Linked DNA regions of Neodiprion lecontei. The protein of the gene in region 1 interacts with the protein of each later gene in a biochemical or structural test. Links are inferred from orthologs where the notes say so. Each region holds a gene or a part of one and is shown in the gene's direction. Other genes may lie near its edges.

Region 1 (8,348 bases):
CAAAACACAATTCAATCTCGCGAATGCCGAGTATGCGATGGTTACCTGTCGCGATGCTCATTCCACTCTTAGCAACGTGCAAAATTTCTAACTTCACGTAAGCTACGGTAAATTGGGTAGCGAAAAAAAATTATTCGACCGAAAGTCAAGCACGTTGCCATCGTGAATGAGCCTATCCATGCAGCTAAGAAATCGAAGATTTGTGTAACAATTGTTACCGCCACGCCACGTGACAGAGGAATCCCAGGGAAATACCCATAACCTAACACATGCAAACTCACCAACGTTGCCGAGAAATAGAAAAGTTACTCGGAAGTCTCTGCTTAAATCTGTGAAAAACAAAACAAAAGATTTGAATTAATTTAGCAGATTGGATGTTATGCAAGAACAAAAGTTCGCCTTTAACTTTACCACCTTGAATTATCAAGCAATAATCAAAATAAGTATTCTTACCTCGACTCTGGGCTGCTCCACACTTTTACATGTAGTAGTTCTTGTAGCATCTTAGGTGAATTGGTGAAGCGACGCACTTTTTACATAATTCAGAACTTCACTAATCTCTTATAATCCAAACATCCACACCGCAATGACACTCGATTCTACACTCACTTTTTGTGCTGTAGCTGTCTGAACCGACTGAATAAACTTGCTAACAATGCAACTACGCATTTGTCGAAAATCAGCCAAAAAAGTAATAAAATTGACACTCGACGCACAGAGACAAAAATAGACATCATTGAAATCCGAAATTACACAAAACAAAGAAAACTCGGGACACGTATTTCACCTTCAACGTTCACAACTACTTATAACAACGCGGTCTGAATATTGAACTGCTCTGAATACACGCGGTTCCGCTCCAGCTGCCCATAAACGACTGATTCCGCACGGCGCTCAGAAGAGAATCAAATCAGTTTTCTGAAGGACGGAAGATAATAATTCTTCCGCTCTCCTTGTTTCTCTTTCCATGGAGTGGGGGTAGCTGTACGCGCCTGCCAGGCTGTTTTTCTCCCTTCTCTCCTCTCGTGGCCCCCACTCCATGGGTAGAGCGACAGAGAGAGCGGGAGAATTATCATCTTCTGTCCTTAGAGAACCGATTGAAATCCGTTCACGGGACGCTTACGCCGTTGTTTGTAAAATATTTTTTCCCAAAATTGTTATTATACACTTCCACACAAATAATGAACAATATTTCTCGGCAATCCTCTATCCATGTATTGAAAAATTTGAGTCAAGTCCAAAGGACAGGCATCAAAACATTGTATAATCTGTTGTAAAACAAAAATGTAAATCAATAAAAGAAATTTTACCGTTAACTGAGAATATGTACTTTACGTTCTCGTTGACCGAAGTATATATGTCGTAGGCATCTAATAAAATCGGGCATTTAATTAAAAGCCTAGTCATCTAATTAAATGCCGGCATTTAATGAAAATCGTATTGATGTCTTTCATTTACTATTATCGTTTAGAGTTTAGAAATTTTATGCTCTAAGGTTGTCACAGACAACCAGCTACACTAGCAGCCGGCGACATTTCGAAGACCTTCAGAATTACTGCATGCCAGGGGCTTGGCTACTTTAGAGTTTGTTTTGGCGTCCGATTTTCCGGATCACGGATTATTTTATTTCATAATCTATACGCAACTATCGCAGCTGCTTACACGCTCGCACCTGACTCTTGTGGTCTATTCTTATATGTCTGTGACTCTAATTTACTCTACCCACCAATAATTTTTGTGCTAAACAAGTAAGAAAAAAAAAAATGAGAAAGATTAAAAAAGTTAGGCGGCTGAACTCCATGATACCGCAAAGACTGAATTTCACCACCACGTTTCACTTCTTCAGTATCTATGTTTCACGGTTCCATATTCCCGCGCAAACAATTTGCCTCGCCGCGTTAAGTGTTTACGTTTGTAATATATTTGATACTTGATATTTCTCGGAAAGATTTGACGCGTATTATTTATCAGGAAGTATCGCATAATACGAATGATGGCGGATCCCATGATAGAGCAGAAAATTCAAAACATGGTGCGAGAGTATGTGGATTTCCTAGATGATCAGGTTTGTAAATCTGAAATGAAAATTCACCCTACACCGGCAACTCCTAACCTTAATCATAACCCGATGACATTTTTTCATATTTCCAGGAAGATCAGGGGAGATACACAGATTTAGTTAAAGCAATGATCGATGAGAAAAAACACCGACTCGTTGTGAACGTCAACGATTTAAGGAAAAAACGTCCAAGCAGAGCGGCGAGGTTAGTTTCACCAAGTTGACTGTTGTCTTTTTAGCAACGACGCCGAAAGTCAGCTAGCCATGGGTGGTATCTTGAAGTTTATTCGGATCTCATGAAAGCAATGTCAAAAAAAAGGCATGTGAATAACTGCATGTCGTAACATAGTTAATAATCTGACGTAATTTCATGTGGATCTCTGCCCTTGGTACGAGTTTCAAAACAATCCCTTTGGCTATCTACCTAGAGTAGTCTGTAGTCACTTAATCTTATACACTGAACTTAGATACGATTACTCCACTTGAAGTGGTAATTCCTCCACCCTCGGAGAATAGATAGTTAGCCACTGATGTTAACAAATTATGAAGTAAAATTTTTTTTATAACAATTATGTAGTTTCTAATATACCGTGTATTCTATCTCAGTATACATTAAATTATATCCAGAACTGCCACTGACTTCACAAACGGAAAAAATTCAGGCCATGTTATTCTTTAAGAAGGTGTCCTAGTCGATTTTGACATTGACGTATACATCTCCAAATATTGAAGTTCGTGTATCTCGAACGTGAACATGGGCTTAACAGCCCCATTCTATACATAATTCTTAACTAAAACATTCCAATACATTTTTATTCGACGCAGAAATAAAGGAATGGCATGAATTCTATGAATTTAAAATTGCGATTTCATAGAAACCATGCCATTTCCTTTGTTTTGCATCAAATGAAAATATATCTGAGTATGTTCTTGTTCATAATTGAGTATAGAAACGCCAAAAACAATTATTTCACTGTAAACTACATTGGATAATTGAGAACATGTATAACACATTTTTTTAATGAATTTCTCAATGTTTAAATGTTGGCATTATTGGTAATCGGAATGTGAAGAGTCAGTTCAAAACGTCTTCTAATTAAGTGATTTATGTATATTAGAGCTGTATTATACATATGTAAATTTCATAAACACATGCATACTCAGATATAGCAATCACTTCAATAACAGGAGATTTCATAAAAATGGCAATGTTCACTGTCATTAACTCTGCCCAAGCTGTATCTCCTTGACCATTTGTAGAAGAATATCGAAATTGTAGATTGTATACTACTGAACGTCTTATGATTTCAACTTTCTGCTACTGAGATGATAGAAACACACAAAATCTATATCACGTGAATTAGGTTGATTTCGAAATTATCTGTGAGACTTTGGATTTAATACTCTTTCCAAAATTAAAACCTCCCTGTATGTGCATATTAACTAATAAATTCGTTGGCGTTTAGTTTGCTAAGCAACTCTTTTGAGGAACAATTGGCCTTCCAAACTGCATTGAAGCAGTATGTTGAAACAATCGATCCGTCATACTGTAAGAACCATCCAGATTTGTTCATTGCGTTTGAGGGCAGCTTTGGTACCAAACATACGACGCCTCGAACTTTGACATCAAGGTTTCTTGGCAATTTAGTGTGCGTTGAGGGTATTGTTACGAAATGTAAGTTGAAGGATAAACCTATGTAGTGGCCTAAGAAAATCAATAGAATGTGATCGAAAATAATAGTGTTGTTAATTTATTTTTATCTACAATTTGAAGGCTCTTTGGTGAGACCCAAGGTTGTCAGAAGCGTTCATTATTGCCCAGCGACAAAGGTTGCCACCGAAAGACAGTACACAGATCTTACTTCTTTTGATCCATTCCCAAGTGCCAATGTTTATCCAACTCAGGTAATGAAACACAGAAATATACATAGTTGATGGTTTCATAATATTTAACAGAACTTGGTTCTTGACCTCTGCTAGAGCAATTTATTGATTATATATTAATTTGAGGTGTTAAAAAGTATAATAATGTGACTGATTAGGACGATGATGGCAATGCGCTCGAAACTGAATACGGATTATCGAGTTACAAGGATCATCAGACTTTGTCAATCCAGGAAATGCCTGAGAAAGCACCGGCGGGACAGTTGCCTCGCAGTGTGGATGTAATCTGCGATAATGACTTAGTAGACTTATGCAAGCCTGGAGACAGGGTCCAAGTAGTTGGAAACTACAGATGTCTTCCTGGCAAACAAGGAGGATTTACATCTGGAACATTCAGGTGTGAGACAGTAGCAAATTTGTGTTTTGTTGCTTCATTCCAGCTGGAAAGTTTTTTTTATATCTGACTTTTAAGTATGAGATCATCTCAATTAATGATATTATCGTTTGTTACATTCTTCCAGGACTATTCTTATTGCGAACAACATTTCTCAGTTGAACAAGGATGCCAATCTTAAAATATCTCGAGCTGATCTTACAATGTGCAAAAAAATGGCCAAGAAAAATCACGTGAATAACATTTTTGAACTGTTGAGCAAATCTTTAGCTCCATCGATACATGGACACGAATACATTAAGAAAGCTATTCTATGTCTGTTACTTGGTGGAGTTGAGAAAATTTTACCCAATGGAACAAGATTAAGAGGGTAATTTCATAACGTTTTGAGATCTAAATAGTTTTCAAGTAACATTTTTTTTTTTTTTTGTAACATATTGGAAAACACAATTAAGAAGGGCTAACATTTTTCAGAGATATTAACATTCTGCTTATCGGTGATCCCTCTGTTGCTAAGTCTCAACTCTTGCGGTATGTTTTGTGTACCGCTCCCCGAGCAGTTCCTACAACTGGTAGGGGCTCTTCAGGAGTTGGTCTCACAGCGGCTGTTACAACTGATCAAGAGACAGGAGAAAGAAGGCTCGAGGCTGGTGCGATGGTATTAGCTGATCGTGGCGTCGTTTGCATTGACGAGTTTGATAAAATGTCTGATATGGACAGGACTGCCATACACGAAGTCATGGAACAAGGAAGAGTTACTATAGCCAAAGCTGGAATACATGCCAGTTTAAATGCACGCTGTTCTGTATTAGCTGCCGCTAATCCTGTATATGGTCGAGTAAGTATGCATTATTGAACTTTTCAATTAAAATTTCAAAAAATTTTAAGTCCTAAATAAACTGTTAAAACTTACTCATTAATTAACCTGGAGCTAAATGTCTGAGCAGTGTCTTCAAAAGATGTAATTTTCTTCTAATTGAATTAAAAAAAATGTGTGTCTCACAGTCGCACTGACTAACAAACCTGGCAACAAATTTTCAGTATGACCAATATAAAACACCGATGGAAAATATTGGGCTACAAGATTCGCTGCTCTCTCGATTTGATCTTTTATTTGTAATGTTGGATCTGATTGATTCGGATCAAGACCATATGATAAGCGATCATGTCGTAAGGATGCATCGGTACAGAAATCATACAGAAAAAGAAGGTGAAGCTTTGCCAATGGGAAGCAATGTTGATTTGCTCAGTACAAAGAATCCAGATACAGTAGATGACGAGGAGACAGAAACGTTGGTATATGAGAAATACGATCCTCTGTTACATGGATTATCTCGTGCAAAAAGGTAGAATTTTTCCAACTCAGTACTATCCAACTTGTCACAGTTGGATAAAGAGTATCACATTTTCCTATAACTTGATGTATTATTTTCAGTGATAAAATACTCAGTGTTAAATTCATGAGAAAATACATCCATATAGCGAAGTGTATGAAACCAAATCTTACGGAAGAAGCGAGCGAAGTGATCGCAAATGAGTATTCTCGTCTAAGATCAGAAGATACTGTTGAGTCCGATGTGGCAAGGGTAAAGTTATCAAAGCCATAGTTTTATGAAATCTAGTCAAAAATTTTGCTACTTGATTTATAGAAATCAATGAGGTGATTTAATGCTTAATTTCTTTAATAATTGTGAGACTTACGTTTAGACACAACCCATAACTGCTCGGGCTTTGGAAACTCTCATTCGTCTTTCAACGGCACATGCCAAAGCGAGACTCTCAAAAGACGTTACCGTGGATGACGCGTATGCGGCAATAGAGCTGGTTCAGTTCGCCTATTTCAAGAAGGTGCTGGAGAAGGAAAAGAAACGACGAAGAAATACAAGTGAAAATGGCACACAGAGTGCAGACGAAGAGGATAGAACTAAAAAGCGCTCAAGAAGAGAAAAGGTTGTCGTTTTTAACAATTTGAGATGCTCCATATTTCATTGCGTACTTTAACACTTGGATTACGTTTCAGAAACAACCTGGAGAGGATGGCTACGACGAGTATGAATTCGATAGTGAAGATGAAACGCATATCGATGAAGCTATTCGAAGAACAACTCGTTCACAAATTGTAAGAGTTGAATCTGCTCCTCGAAATGGTTCAAATGTGACAACAATTTCTTCAACTGAATCTGCACAAGTTGAAGAAACGAGTCCTGTCACCATTGACAAAAATAGGTAACGAAAGATTAACAAATTTAATTTGATTAAACTCAATGTGACGAGCTAATAAATTATCTTTCGCGGCTTATGAATTTTTTATAGATGTAGATGAATATTTTGAAATTCATTGTTTTTACTTGGATTTTTTTAAATTTCTTCGAAGATAGTTTCTTGTCATATATTTCTTATGCATCTAATTGAAATTTTTTTCATTTCCGTTTTTGGAACAGGTTGGAAATTTTTCGAAATGCTCTACAAAGATTGTTCCGCGAAGAGCGTTCTCAGTCACTTCCTCTGTCAAGGGTACACGAATACGTGAACAGTCAACATTCTCCAGACTTCACAAAGGCGGAAGTTACTGCTGCTGTAACAGAGATGACAGATGCTAACCAAATTATGCTGGCGGATAACATAGTTTTTTTGATCTAGGTAAATCTCACATGGCTTTTTTTTTATTTGTTTTTTTTTTTTTTGTGTCGTTTCACTACAGTTGAATAGATCCAACTTCTTACCCGGTTTAAAATGATTCATATAAAATTATTTTTGTAATTTTCATCTATTGGATATAGTGTTTTATTACGAAACTAATATGTCGATTTAAAATAAAAAAGATAGAAACATCATGAATTTATTTGCTTTATAGATGAGACATTAATTATTCCATTTTCCTAATTGTTTTTGTATTTTTGATTTTGTGATAAGTCAATCTATAACTGTACAGTAGAACTCATATATAATTGAAGCTACAGGGTCGAGAATTTTAAGAATTAGAATTTATGGGTTACCCTCTCCATCAAAATATTCATCTAATACATATTCTGTCGCTGTCTCCGAATGCTCTATGTATTGCGCAGTACAGTAGTTGCATTGAAAAGAGGCAAGATCAGCAGAAGCAACTTCCCCCTCTAAAGTAGGGGATGTTGAATTTAAGTGGTTCGAATTTATAGGAGTTCTGTTGTATGTAAAGAATATAGTAGAGAAGACATTTGCTTACAAATGTAATTTTGGAAGGTCTTTTCACGTTGTTTGGCAGTAAAAAAAAGGGATTAGAAATTACAGTAACATTGATCAGCTCTATGTATAATTTCATAATACAACACATTGGCACATAAACTAGGCAACAATGATCAACATTTATCACAATAACATGAACATACTTTAAATCTCTACATATTCCATTTTTATGTAAATATATTTTTTAATTTACGTACGTATATTATATACATATATATATATATACACACACACACATATATATATATATTTATATAAAATTTCCCTATAGTGTAGGGATACAATACTCTTACTGTATCTCATTGAATTTCAAGCTCATACAATCGTTTTTAGCTATTATATGAATATTTTTATAATACGCACTAATCCAATATTATCTAATTATGTATTTTCTACCCCCATTGCATTCCGAAACTTCTTTCTGTTACACAAGACTTTTCCCAAAGTTTATTCATACCCAAACCATTTGATTTATTTACCAGATTATCACGTATATGTAATGTTTACATCGTTTTACTGATTTTGTTTTATCATTAACGTTGAATAACTACCCGGTACGAATTGAAATATGTTTAGCCCCTTCTGTAACAGGTAGCATGATCTTAACAGGCAATTATATCGAAATTGATGAAACACAATCAAAGTTCCCTGTTTTAAAAACATGAAATGATAATTCGTTCCAATGTAGTAAATGAAGGTGTGCGATCAAGTAGGAATAACAGAGGCTCAAATAATACTACTATTATTAAACATAAAAATGCTTTGAGTTTTCAAAGTGATACTAAG
Region 2 (7,544 bases), on another chromosome or scaffold:
TAAAAGTATAAAATAAAATTCAATAAAATAAACACATAAATAAAAGTAAATAAATAAACAAATAAATAATATATAACATAATAATATACTACAATGTCGAACTCTGATAAATTGAATTCTTACAGTAGATGATGAGGAATAACTAATTGATATTGCAATTTATTAAAGAGTGATCAAAATACAAATAATAGGGGGCCAGTCTAGAGTCACCCGAGCCTAAGGAAATCAAACATAGACTTACTAAACTAATTTTAGCTGTAATATTTAAACAGGTGGGATCAATCTGTGATTTAGTTGAGTCGCTTTACTGTCCTTTGTTTTCTATCTAGACACGTCGCTGAAATATAATAATGCGTACTATATTTCAGTGAGTCACGTGGAAGATTTTTCTGTTACTTATCTTTATCTTGTTTTGGGCCATCTTTCACAAAACGAAAATCATCTTATTTCTCACGCTAAATAAAGTCTGAATCAAAGGTTGGTCTCCCGGCTGACTTAATCATGCGCTGCCAAGTCTGCCTTTGTAGTATACAATTCTGAAAGAATTTTAATAACGGAGGCTTAACTCTGTAACGAAGATAACCGTATAAACAGTATAAAGAATCGCGATCATATCCGCCTGATAGTTTATCATTTTTCAGTTATTTAAATCAAAGCATTTCAGTATTTTAACTCGCGACCTGGTAGCGCACGGTTGTAAGCTAGGTTAGGTTCCTCGTGACCTACCTCGTCTCTCTTGTTACGCCTACTACTACACTGTTATTGTTGATGAAAACTCCATATTATTATAAAATAAATATTATATTGTCTCAGGTTTGAGACTATATATTAAATCATCCCATTCGATCCTTATGTTACATCTTGTATCTATCTCTGGAATTCCCTAAATCATATTCCTGTATAATAGCCGCGATACGTAACACGTATGCGTGAACGATAGATTTATAAATAATGTACAGATAAAGTGTAAAGTACAAAGGAAAAAGCAATCTCATGCTGCGGTGGCTTTAAGCCAGTCATGCTCTGTCTCCAAAGATTTATTGTGAGAGAGGTCACAGTGTGAATTGTCCTTTGCGGTAAACCGTATGAAACGATGTTAAAATGAAGAGACTGCTTTGTCCTCTCCACCAAATTCTTCGTCAAATGAACGATACGTAACCGAACATTGCTTCGATTAGAAAATACCAATGTCAATTGTCATTCGAGACTTGCGTTTATTACCTCAAGGCCCGCGGGTCCAATAGTAATCTACCACTCGTAAACTGAATGAAAATGATCTTATAAAGGTGCATCAGTGTTGCACATCGTTATACAGTTGTAGGTCCCCTGAGTGTGCAAAGAACAAGACGAAAGAAAACATTGAGTATAGTTGTGATAAAAAAAACAGCTGTCTACGTGATGTACGAAAATTTTTTTTACTCGGTCTCCTGGGTACGTTCCGTGAATCGCATAGTCATAATGACTTTCGGAAAATAAGCAAGGCTAATAGCTAGCTAAGCTGACCTGCAGGCGTGAATGTGTGGACATGTATAGGTCATATTACTCGAATTATTTTATCAAAATATTGCGACGGCAGTTTTGATTCCTTGACAACTGCATAGTGAACACCCCTTGCGGTTATTTCATTTTAATTCCATTCATCAACGGATATCTGGTCGCGAGTGTCCGACAACTATTCAATCAACAATAGACTTATATGTGTGTATATTTTATACGAGTGCCTTCTCCAGAGGCCTACATGACGTACTTACGTACATACACACATGCATATCGTATGAATGCGCTGCCAGTAAGTTACGTGCCAAAGGCTGAAAGCTCGCATGATCGGAGATAACTACATATTTGAATCAGCAAGTCATTCTAGCCGAAATTTGACCCCTCCAGGTGATATAGAGCTTATACTCAATGGCCAACAACTAATCGAGATGTTAAAATCGCATATTTGGAAAAACGTTTGTCCTCTTGCCGATCCTTTTTCTTTTTCTCGTGGATATCAACGTGCAGGTTTTTTCGCGCGTTTTAAAGTGACACGTTGCGTAAATAGTAAATTTCAGTTTTGACATTTCTGCCACTTTGTCACACGTTGGGCGGTGGAAAATTAAATACTCGTGAAAATAAAATAATACACAACTGACGTTTAACACCGTCAACTTACTGTGCGCTAATTTGCATACCGTATTGTTGTGTTTCGCCCAAGTGTAGTCGTTACAAATTTCTTTGAAACACTCATTGTCATGCGGGAATCATGATAAACAGAAAACTCTTCAGGATGTAAAATTGGTAAATGGTGTCATTTTCTGGAGATACATAGTCAAAATCGTTACTTGTGTGGTTTATAACCTCAAAGTTAATCTGATTCGGATCTGTTCAACGCTACGGACACAAGGTACATACACACATTAAGTTATTATAGAAATACCTAATAAATATTATGGGCCGCTTAAATTTCCGAAACCCTTGCTGCGCCCGTGCATGTGTTGCATTTCTTCATCATCGATACTCCATGCTCGGTATCATGTGTTAAAAACCATATGAGGCATTTTTTGGCAAGCCGCTGGTACAGCTACCAAAATGAACCAAAATATAGTTTACGTCACACACAATATTGTTCTGGTACACCTTGTTTGCTATACCGGTGCTTGCCAGAACATGCCTATTTTGGTACACCTATCTGATTGTACGCAAATTTACTTTTCATACGCAATATGCAATAACTGCACTTGTAATACTAAAGTTAATTATATTTAGATTCCAACAGAATGACCAGATGTATAACAATGCTAAGACGTTCATCAATGAAACTATTAATTCCACAAATAGAAACGATATACTCTTTTATCTAATATCTTATGATTTCACTTAACTCCATTTTTTCTTATCATTTATTCATTGTCATTTCCGATCTAGGCTTTTGTCACATACTGTATGGAAAATTGTACTTGTTTGAATGGAAATATTTTCTTTTGTCAAATAGACTTAATATTGTCAATTACATTTTACGTTGTATTCAAATCTGAGATAACGACATGATTGAAAAACTATTTAGTCCCTCAAAACAACCAGAACGTGTGATAACAGATTGATAACAGTAAAAGTAATTTTACTCAATTTCTACCTAGCTTATGATAGATCATCATGGATGGTGAAGAGGATTATTCGCAGATGGAAGGAAGTCGGTGTAATTTCACATCATTCGGTAGAAGTGATGCAGCAGTTGATACCAGTGAAGAAAAGGACCAGAACCTTAGTCCGGGTAATGAGAAACATGGAGACCTTGGCGATATGACATTTTGCATGGCTAATTATATAAAAGAAGCTATGAAAATGATGTTTATGATGCGAAGTCATCACATGCTTACCGACGTTATCTTAGAAGTTGGACAAGAACTGTTCCATGCACACAAAGTCATTTTGGCTGCGGCAAGTCCTTATTTTAAGGTATCATTTTATTTTTTTACACCTCATCCACATCTAGTTATTCCCAGCTAATATTACTTTCAGTCTAGAATCATGAAATAAACATCTTTTAACTTTCAGTTACTACGTGTATATTGTTTAAAAAACAATCACTTCAAATAATTTAACATACTTTATTCAAATTCGTCTGATTTTCATTTATATCAATCAATGCCTCACTTTGTAAGTCCTGATTTTTTCATAATACTTGAAGTGTTGATAGTACAACATCCCGGTGGTCAGGAATAATTTAACACTGCTGAATTACAGAAAGCGTTCATTCAATTACTGCTTCGTAGTCAGTGATACTGTCAATACCTCGTGTCTGTTTATAATAAAAATTTTCTTACTCTAAATTCTAGGCAATGTTCACGGGAGGTCTTAAAGAATGTGAAATGACCAGAGTCAAATTGCAAGGGGTTTGTCCAACAGCGATGGCTCGGCTCATGTATTTCATGTACACGGGACAAATAAGAGTAACTGAAGTAACAGTCTGTTCGTTATTACCTGCGGCGACAATGTTTCAGGTACAGTATTCCTAGGTAATTGTCATAGGTTATAAGCTGAGAAATGTTCAAAAGTATTCCATAGCTGATATGTATTGAATAAAATACACGATCGTTCTTATTGTTAGCTATGTGTCGAAATATTTGACATTCGAATTACAGGTTGGCAATGTAATAGATGCATGCTGCGTATTTCTCGAGAGGCAATTGGACCCAACAAATGCTATCGGAATTGCAAATTTTGCTGAACAGCATGGTTGTCACGATTTACATCACAAAGCAAATCAATTTATCGTGCAACACTTTAGCAGAATTTGTCAAGAAGAAGAATTCCTTCAACTTACGGCCATACAATTAATTAATTTAATTAGAAAAGATGAACTTAATGTACAGGAAGAAAGAGAAGTTTATAATGCAGTGTTAAAATGGGTGAAATACAACGAGGAATCTCGCGGTATTAAAATGGAACATATATTGCACGCAGTTCGGTGTCAGTATTTGACTCCGAGCTTTCTTAGGGAACAAATGAAAAATTGCGATGTTTTAAAAAAAGTTCCAGCCTGCCGCGAGTATCTAGCGCAAATTTTTAAAGACCTAACATTGCATAAGAAACCAGTCGTCAAAGAGAGGACACCCAACACACCAAGAGTCATTTACATAGCAGGTGGATTTCTTAGACATTCGTTGGATGTTCTTGAAGGGTATAATGCCGACGACAAAGTTTGGAGTCAACATGCTAAGTTAACAGTGCCTCGTTCCGGACTTGGAGGAGCATTTTTAAAAGGCATGTTTTACGCCATCGGTGGAAGGAACAATTCGCCAGGAAACAGGTGAGATTAATAACATGTAGATATTGGTTCACCTGCTTAGTTCAAGTAATCGTTAACAAACAGTTTTTTTTACTCATCTTCAAGATACGACAGTGATTGGGTGGACAGGTACAATCCAGTTCTTGACCAGTGGAGACCCTGTAATCCCATGTCAGTGCCAAGGAACAGAGTGGGAGTTGCTGTAATGGATGGTGTATTGTATGCGGTAGGTGGCAGCGCAGGTGCAGAATATCACAACAGCGTTGAATGTTATGACCCGGATCAGGATACCTGGACAAATGTTAAACCTATGCACACAAAACGATTAGGAGTCGGAGTTGCTGTAGTAAATAGGTATGACGAATGCTTTTCAAGATTCCATTAAGCAATCTTTCTCGGGCACTTAAAAAAAACCTTGACTCTGAAATTTCGTATTTATAGATTGCTCTACGCAATTGGTGGATTTAATGGAATGCATAGATTGAGTTCAGTAGAATGTTATCATCCAGAAAATGACGAATGGACCATGGTCTCTCCCATGCGGTGTTGTCGGTCAGGATCTGGTGTAGCAAGTCTTGGGCAGTACATCTATGTGGTAGGAGGCTATGACGGATCTCGTCAGTTGAGCACAGTAGAACGTTACGATACGGAACATGATTCATGGGAGTTTGTGAGCAATGTTTCAGTTGCGCGCAGTGCTTTGAGCGTAACTGTTCTAGATGGAAAACTTTATGCAATGGGTTAGTGTCTTGTGTATATATCGTAATTGACACGATTTTTTTTTTTTTTTATGACAATTTGAATTCTCTCATTTCATGTATAAGTTTTATTGTTCTTTTCCGTTACAGGAGGGTATGACGGACAGACCTTTTTAAGTATAGTAGAAATATACGATCCAGCCAAGGATCAATGGGAACCAGGAGTGCCTATGACTTCGGGTAGATCAGGTCATGCGAGTGCGGTTTCTTATCACCAATGTCCGTTGCATTGTGATCACTTGGAACATCACATTGTTTCTAGTGAAAACCGATCAACGAAACGCACATCTTGACACCCTATGTCGAATTCTGTGACCTGATGACGCGATTTAATTTATTTATTTGTAAATGACGTGTAGTATAATAATATAGTGTAACGATAGTATAAGGAGATAAGACTATATTGAGATTGATCTTAATCAAGCAGGTAGTGAAGCTATGCAGAGGATATTTTTGAATTCTGAGTTGCCTAGAAAGTGCTTACATAAATTGAGAAAAGTGAACTGTGCACAAGTTCCTTCAAACAGACTACAAAACAAGTTTGATTCGATTTCATATCTTCACCTAGATATCTTTGGTAAGTGAAAAATTAAAATAGGCAAGTGGGACAATCTTAGTGATACAAACTAGAAGCAGAAAGCAATTCCAAAGATCACTCAATCAGTAACAAAACGATGTACCCATATTTACTATAGGGCGAATGATCTATTTTCTATAATTCTCTTCATTCTGTTTACGCAACTGATTGTTGTACATTATTTTAGTAACTATGCAAACACCTAATTAATAGTATAATTTGTGATTGGAAAAACCATGAGATATTCGTTAATTGGTAATACTTTTTAATATCAGTACCTGTCACAAGGACTAAAAAGACAAGAATAAATTGGAATGTTGATGATTTTTTCGCAAATATCAAAGGAGTTTACTCCACATAGTATAATATTGCAAGCTGAAGGCAGTCATTTTGTATTTCCATTGTTTATCAAAATGCACGTTCAAGACCTAGAACTAACTTTTCAAATTCCAGATGAAACTAGTCCCATTAAATATTGAATAATTTCTGTAAAATTAAAAAAAATTTTAAAAAACACAAATCTGCGATTAAACATGTTGCCACTGGAGTGTCAAAATCAACCGACTACCTGTCCTATGTGTCTAGGAAAAGGTAATGAAAAAACTTATGTCAACTTGAAATATCAGTAAAAGTTTATTAACAGTCAAATTCAATTTTATTTAACTTTAGGGTATTGCAATGAAGATAAGTCAAGGCTCTCTTTCAGTCAAGAAAAGTCCACACTTGTTCATCCTAAGCGTTCACTACGACTACCAGCTATAAATTCTGAAAATACAAAGCTAAAGAGGCATTCTTCGAGTTACAGCTCTAATTTTTCTGCCACAGAGGGTATCGGGGATGTACACTTACCAAAAATACTTCATAGGTACTACAGATATTATATTCATTACGGAGAGAATTCGGTTCAATTTTGATTATCGGTTGAAAATTGTCATATAAAAAAAATTCGTCCACCAATTTTCAAATTATGGTAGTATTGGCTTTTAGAGAAAATTACAGTCTCCTGTGATGAAAGTGTATGCGCAAAGAATTTTGGGTAGCGGTGAGCAGAATCTCCTTGGAGAGGTTCCTTGTATGTACGTACGTACATTTTGATCGCAGGAGAATGAATTTTTTTTTTCAATGCCTATACTACCATAATCTAAAAATTGGTAGAAGATTTTTCTTAATCGACTTTATTTAATCAGTCAAGAATTAAAAACCCGTGTTTTGGTCAAAGTTTCACCAAAGACTCCCCTTAATTAATGAAGATTGAAGCTTTGGACAAGTTGCAAAGTTCTTAGCAACAATGCTAGCTTGTTTATATACCTCCTTTGAACACAGCAATTCCGTGTATACCGAATGCAGCAGAACCAGTTTAAATCAAAAAAGCATGCTTTATCCTGGTGGAGATAATATGAAGCTACAGGACAAAAATTATGCGACAGCAGCTCTAAAC
Region 3 (6,542 bases), about 11 Mb from region 1:
AATGGAAACAAATATCAGCCACAAAAGTGTTGAATTGCTGGAAGAACTTGGACAGAACAAAAATACTGAAGCCACACACCGTGTAAAACAGAAGTTCGTCTATCTACTATTTACCTTACTGCACACCATAAAGCACCAACATCAATCGAGCTTTTGTGATTGGGAAGCTGTCGGAACGACGATGGCTATCTACAGGTCTAAATCCTCATTAGCTAAGGACGCTAAAAGAGCTTACAATCGACTTGCCAATCAATTAGGCGTTGAAGTCAATACGTAAGTTTCAGAACGTTCTATGTTACAATTCACAAATTAATTCTTTTCAACAGTAATTCTAAAAGATTTTCTGCGCTCTAATAAATTAGGCTCACGGTCTTTATTTTATTCATTCGATTCATCACTATTAGCTATTATTACATGTATTTTCAATTTTCAGTATACAAAACCAAAAGAAAGAGGAAAAAATAGAAAGTTGCGAACATGCAGAAAGTAATGGGCATAATGTCGAAACTGGATCAACAGATGATGACAAGTCTAGTGAAGATTCTAAGGAGAGAGATAAACAGACAAAGAAGCTGAACAAGAAGAAACAGAAGAATAAAAGCAAACAGAAAGATATACAGCAGCTAAAAAAAGTTACGCGTGAACTCCGAATGAAAGCTATGTCAGATGGATTCAGTTCAGTTGATTTTAGTGCAGTACCTGTACATTATATCAACGATGTAGACATGGAAATTACCGCGGATGGTGAATCGTCGCGAAACTGTGAAGTTCTGGCGATAAACATGTTACAAAATAGTACAGACTTACAATCTGGGAAAAGAGTTTCACCTAAGAAAAGGTCGGCTTCAGAATCGCAAAATATACCCTTCAAAACTAGTAAAAAAAAAAAATGACATCTCTGAATAGATAAAATAAATATTGATATTTTTTTATACAATTAAGAGTTACAGCACACGCATAAGTCTTGTGCTCAATTTAATTTATGACGCTGTGCGCGCTTAAGGTAATCATTTACGGGACTCATGAAGTACATCTTTGTCACATTGAACCTGTTGAAACGTTCAAGCGGAGTAATAATAATCGGCTAACATTTTTCCCGATGTTGTACATTTTTATGTATTGTTTAAAAATATACAGTGTAATTAAAATTGTAGTAGCATTCCTAATTTGACCTGTCGGCGTATTGGAGTTACAAAATTGTTTCTGGTTTGACTTCCAACGCATAGATAATTCGTAACAGAACTTTTCAGCATTCCTTACTTACTCCGCATCCATCTCTTTCTCACCAGCTCAGCCGTATTCACAGATACGACAGGTACGAAAACTCCCATGGTGGTGGCAAGTCAGTTTCAGAAATGTCCCGCTAAAGTTGAAGCGCTGCAATCTAGAAGTAGTCGAACCCTTAGAGCATATCACTGATATATATATATCAGTGGGTTATACATTCTCATCAACCACCTCCGTGAAGTTGGCCCCCCGAAGTTGTTATTTTTAAATCTAATTAATGCAATTCGTTTGAGAATCGTTTGAGAGGGTTTGAGAGTAAAGAAAAATCGTTTGAGAGTTAGTAGTTTTTCCGGAAAATTGATTTTAATTTTGGGTGTGAAGTTGGCCCCCATATTTTCTCCAACTTCACGGAGGTTCATCAACCGACGCAACTTGACAATGAGAGCCAAGCGGTTTAAGTTAGATTTAAATATAGCCGAATGGCGCTTCGATCAGCAGATTCACCACCATAAGCAATCACATATCCCTAAGTATGTCTTCCTTCTGGAAGGGAGAGCCAAGTTGTGACTATGAAACGAGGACCCCTCTGAGATTCATGGAGCCTTCATCAAGGCGTCCTTCATCCTTGAGATAAGGAGAGACTATGAACACGGGTATACTACGATGTTAATTAAACTTTTCGGAGGTCGCGGATTTCTGAACACATGTACTCAAATGTGTCGATTATTCCATGAAAGTCGCAGTTCTATTCCATCAGGTAGCTTAAGATTGGCGCCAATATGCGAAGAGAATCCTTGTAGCATTAAATCTTGGTTGATCGTTACTTTTCAGATGGAATTTTTCCCTAAAAAAGTAGTCTGTGTAGTTGTCGGGACACTGAATTCTTGTGCGAAATTTTGACCATGAATATAGTATCTTCGGTTAATAATTCTGGTAACAACGTTGATGAAGGTGGTGCATCAAAATTGTCTTAATTATTTGTTTGCCTTTAACCATACAAGTATTACGTGTAAACGTAGTTTCAGTGATGGATCTTAAGCAAATGAATTTCTCTTTCCAACTCTAGAAAACGAGAAAGACAAAATTTCATATCTCATTCGAAAGCTGCCTGTTCTGGGAAACTTGTTTCACATACACGGTAAAATCGGGAAAGGGACATTCAGCTCTGTGTTTTTAGCCACTTTAAAGACATCCACAAACCAGCGTAAATTTGCCATCAAACATCTTGTGCCTACGTGTCATCCGAGGAGAATTGAACGTGAGCTACAATGTTTGCAGGACATAGGGTACACCTGTTTCTATTTCCTGCTATATCGATCGCCTGCTTTTCTTTCAAAATGTCTATGACACTGAAATTCTTTGCAGAGGTACCGATTATGTTGTTGAGTTGGACTTGTGTCTGCGGAGTGCAGAATGCATCGTGTTCGTAATGCCGTATATGAAGCATGATAGGTTCGCTGTACGTAAATTATATACAAACAAGTATAAACTTATGATTTGAAAATGACGTATAAATAGGTCTCTTTTAATAACGTTGTTTCACTTAATGAGAGTTAGTATTTTTAGGAATATGTTCACGACATGACCGTTGATGAGACTAGAAACTATATGAAAGCGCTGCTGGTTGCCCTGCGGCGAGTACATAAGTTTAATATTATACACCGGGATGTAAAACCTAGTAATTTCCTCTACAATCGTGCTATGAAACAGTGAGTTATTTATTTCAACATCTAAGTGTGTGATATAGTCATTAAAAATTCCTGGTATTTATGTGGCTTTTATTTGCTGTACATAAGATGTGTGTAAGAACTGGTCAAAAACTCGGTTCTATTGTTCTCAACATGTCAAGCTTGTGTTATCAAATTTTAGGTATCGACTAGTCGATTTTGGGCTAGCGCAGCAGTATACTACTGAAAGTAACACAAGTAGTCAGGCAGAAACATGTGTCATTGAATCTCAGCCAGGAAAAAGAAAAAGAAACGATGTGGTAGGAATGAACTTTTTTGATTGAAGCCAGTATAATTAAGCATGAACGGGTCACCATGTAAATCAACATTTAGAAGAAGATAAAAATCCATGTTAAAACCTCTAACAATGTTATTTGTCCCAGTAATGGTCTACACGTATGAAACGACACCCCTACCAAGCGATAGAACTGAATTTGAGCAAATTTAACCTACTTGAGCTTAGACGCCAACAATTTGAGAGAAGGTTTTATAATCAGAATGAATGAGCCAATACATAAATTCTGACAAAAATCGCCAAGATCTAGTCATTTTCAACGTTTCAACTATTAAACCTTTTCTCACATTGTCAACATCTTGTCGTGTGTTATTCGAATTTGCCCACATTTTTTTCAACTACATGGTGCCGATATAGTTTAATTCATCTTAATTATCATTCACGTGAATAACATTGCTGGAAATTTTTTAGATGGTTTTTTCTTCCTTCTTTTCCCAACTTTTGATTCAGGCAGCAGGACTATCTCATTTTTAATACGAAACGTATTGAGAAATCATGAAATTCAAGTTGGATATGTTAACGCAACGATCCATTTTTAGGAACAATCGTTATGTTACAATTTTAGGACAGTTTAATATCCAGTAAACCGTAATCAAGCAAAACCAATCTCACATTCTGAAAACTCGAAACCTTCAGTCATAGTGAAGTTGTAAATCAATAATTTTTTTTCAACTCTTCAACCTGTTTGTTATTTCTGTATTATCTTGACAATTATTATCAGTTATTTCTTAATTGGCAGAATGACGAGACAGGTCCTGTAAAAAATACTGGCAAGCCTATAGATGTGCAATGCATATGCTATGGAAAACCTCGAATATGTTCTATCTGCCTATCAAAATCTGCTCAAACTGCCCCTCGTGCTGGTACGCCTGGATTTAGAGCACCGGAGGTGCTACTCAAGTTCCCTTCGCAAACGTCAGGTGAACACATTCAATTCATCCTTCGTCAATCCTTTGACATGATTCTAAAAATTGGTCAGTCAAGTACCGAAAATAAAAATGAAACACCTTATTTTTAGCAATTGATATTTGGGCCAGCGGTGTCATAATGCTTTGCATCCTGAGTGGAACTCACCCTTTTTTTCGTTCGCCAGATGACTGCACAGCCTTGGCTGAGATAACAACAATCTTTGGTTCGACCAAAATGCAACAATGTGCCAAAAAATTGGGTACTTTGCTTTATTTTCCGTTTTACTGTTTAATTAATTCACATCATACTTTGATCTAAAACGACTAAACACAGAACCAAATAGCTGGATAGCACTTTTATTTATAATACAATAATTTTTTTTTATGCAGGTAGAAAACTTACATTTAGCGAAAACATACCTGGAATTGATATTAAGTTGCTTTGTCAAAAATTACAAAAGAGAAATAGCCTTCATCGAGAGGAGGATCCCAACACTAGTTGTAGTAACAAGAATCAGGTATTTTCAAATGTTATTTTTCATTATTTTCACTTTCTTTATTTAACGCCGATGTGCTTCATTCTTTTTCTGTTTATATCATTATTAACAGTTCTTTTTTTTTTTCTAATTTTAAGGAAAAAATTGATACTGCCTATCCTTCGGCAGCATATGATTTATTAATTAGGCTGCTCGATCCAGATCACTGTACAAGAATAACTGCGGAAGAAGCGATAAATCACACTTTTCTCGCAGACTAACCATTTGTATTTAATTACTTACGTGTCTCGTCAGAAATTCATTCTTGCAAATACTGTTACCTGATTTTAAACAACGAACATGTAATACGTTTCAACAATGTATAAAATTGGTCTCTAGTTGCCTGAGAATCACAGTGATGAAGTGTGATTTATACGATCTGCAAAGTTCATCTGATAATACGTGCCTTGTAAAACATCAATACAATTACGATGTGTTTGTTTGTTCAAATAATGTATATAGAGAATATTTTTATATTTATTATTAATATAAGTATTGACTTCTGTCGCGTACTATATAAATCAAAACTATACATAAGTTCGTTAAAATAAAAATTAATATATTTTATTTAAAATGCAAGTTTGCTAGTAATTTTAAAGAACAACTTTTCAAAAGTTGTCTTTTTGTATATAAAAGAGATGTATTGAATGGTTGAAAATTATTTAGCAATGTACTATCAATTTTGATATTTCGACAATTCCTATAACTCAATTTCGTCAGGTAAACACAATAGTCGTGTAGTAGGTATAAATATATTTTATTATAATATATTATCGAAATAAATACTGTACAAATTTTTTCCAACAATTTAAATTACAAAATTTTAACTTGCCAATATCCAAGTGCATTAATACTATGTTACAGTGTAAGTAAGAATGAACTTATAGAATTCTTAAGTATAAATCAAAATGATTGAACATTATCTAGTGCCAAAAATATTTTTAAGTACTTGAGTGCGTTCATCTAGAATCTTCAGAACAATGAATGATGATGTATGAAAATGTTGTGATATCAATAATAACTAAAATAATTTCTGATGTAAGAAAACGTCACACAGTTCCCACGAAAATAAAAACAAATGCATGTATGGATATAGAAAAACAAAATACAGGAACTTTTTTTGTGTCGTAATGATAATATCTGGGCAAATTGAAGACTGATTAGCAAGTAATCATGAATCGTGATCTGGTAAGTAACGAAACATGTGTAAAATAGCTTATAACACAAAGACTTTGTATAAAGTGCAGACTATTCGACAGCGGCAGAATCATCCAGATTGATATTACTAACGCCTTGAAGGTCTTCAATGTTTTTCTTAATCAATTCCCACTTGGCAGCAGTTTCCAAAGCCTTAGCGGCTAATTCCCGTATCGTCTTGTCCTCAACGGCCTCGGTTTTAGTCAGCGCCATTAAAATCTCCATGACGTCAGTCTCAATCAATTTAGCGGCGACATCCTTGGTGCTGGATATCATATTAAGCACCACAACGACGCCTCTGTGCTGGATACTCTTGTTCGGATTAGCCAGAAGGTAGTGAATAGACTCGAGCCAATTTTTCGAGTCGAATATCTTAGCGCAAGCTTTGGTGCTGTTTGCGGTCAGCATTGCCAGAGCACCAGCAGCAGCCATACTGGTCTCCTCATCCTCATCTTCGCACAAAATTACGAGATACTTGACCCTGTCATTGTCGCCTTCGTAAAACTTGAGCACCTCTGGAGACATCATAAGGTTGGTGATGACTTGAGTAGCGGCACGAGTCAGCATCACGTGATCCTCGTAGGCGTAGTGTTCGATCTTCTGAAATCCCCCCTCCTTGAAAATCCTGCATCTGACGCTCTCGCTGGTTCCG

Evidence for each region.
Region 2: the proteins of DNA replication licensing factor Mcm3 (region 1) and kelch-like ECH-associated protein 1B form a complex in vitro, tested with the Homo sapiens proteins (2 studies listed by BioGRID, with this or other methods). The link is inferred for Neodiprion lecontei from reciprocal best matches to the Homo sapiens genes MCM3 and KEAP1.
Region 3: the proteins of DNA replication licensing factor Mcm3 (region 1) and cell division cycle 7-related protein kinase form a complex in vitro, tested with the Homo sapiens proteins (2 studies listed by BioGRID and IntAct, with this or other methods). The link is inferred for Neodiprion lecontei from reciprocal best matches to the Homo sapiens genes MCM3 and CDC7.

What each region holds. Positions count from the first base shown.
Region 1 is NC_060261.1:28,714,931-28,723,278, forward strand, and holds DNA replication licensing factor Mcm3, read left to right. Parts: upstream 1-1,884; 5' UTR 1,885-1,990; coding exon 1,991-2,065; intron 2,066-2,151; coding exon 2,152-2,264; intron 2,265-3,525; coding exon 3,526-3,734; intron 3,735-3,833; coding exon 3,834-3,964; intron 3,965-4,101; coding exon 4,102-4,340; intron 4,341-4,464; coding exon 4,465-4,707; intron 4,708-4,811; coding exon 4,812-5,175; intron 5,176-5,378; coding exon 5,379-5,683; intron 5,684-5,772; coding exon 5,773-5,923; intron 5,924-6,044; coding exon 6,045-6,287; intron 6,288-6,357; coding exon 6,358-6,563; intron 6,564-6,778; coding exon 6,779-6,977; 3' UTR 6,978-7,574; downstream 7,575-8,348. UniProt on the Homo sapiens protein: Acts as a component of the MCM2-7 complex (MCM complex) which is the replicative helicase essential for 'once per cell cycle' DNA replication initiation and elongation in eukaryotic cells.
Region 2 is NC_060263.1:38,076,004-38,083,547, forward strand, and holds kelch-like ECH-associated protein 1B, read left to right. Parts: upstream 1-1,821; 5' UTR 1,822-2,386; intron 2,387-3,119; 5' UTR 3,120-3,135; coding exon 3,136-3,438; intron 3,439-3,818; coding exon 3,819-3,983; intron 3,984-4,124; coding exon 4,125-4,792; intron 4,793-4,876; coding exon 4,877-5,125; intron 5,126-5,212; coding exon 5,213-5,511; intron 5,512-5,619; coding exon 5,620-5,822; 3' UTR 5,823-6,639; coding exon of another isoform or gene 6,640-6,697; 3' UTR 6,698-6,754; downstream 6,755-7,544. Other genes in the region: uncharacterized protein LOC107225684, read left to right, coding at 6,640-6,697, 6,776-6,971, 7,430-7,544. UniProt on the Homo sapiens protein: Substrate-specific adapter of a BCR (BTB-CUL3-RBX1) E3 ubiquitin ligase complex that regulates the response to oxidative stress by targeting NFE2L2/NRF2 for ubiquitination.
Region 3 is NC_060261.1:17,270,921-17,277,462, forward strand, and holds cell division cycle 7-related protein kinase, read left to right. Parts: upstream 1-1,912; 5' UTR 1,913-2,129; coding exon 2,130-2,178; intron 2,179-2,293; coding exon 2,294-2,513; intron 2,514-2,592; coding exon 2,593-2,686; intron 2,687-2,793; coding exon 2,794-2,936; intron 2,937-3,096; coding exon 3,097-3,214; intron 3,215-3,988; coding exon 3,989-4,169; intron 4,170-4,267; coding exon 4,268-4,417; intron 4,418-4,547; coding exon 4,548-4,675; intron 4,676-4,791; coding exon 4,792-4,914; 3' UTR 4,915-5,752; downstream 5,753-6,542. Other genes in the region: myb-binding protein 1A-like protein, read left to right, coding at 1-273, 434-893; protein unc-45 homolog B, read right to left, coding at 5,942-6,542. UniProt on the Homo sapiens protein: Kinase involved in initiation of DNA replication. Phosphorylates critical substrates that regulate the G1/S phase transition and initiation of DNA replication, such as MCM proteins and CLASPIN.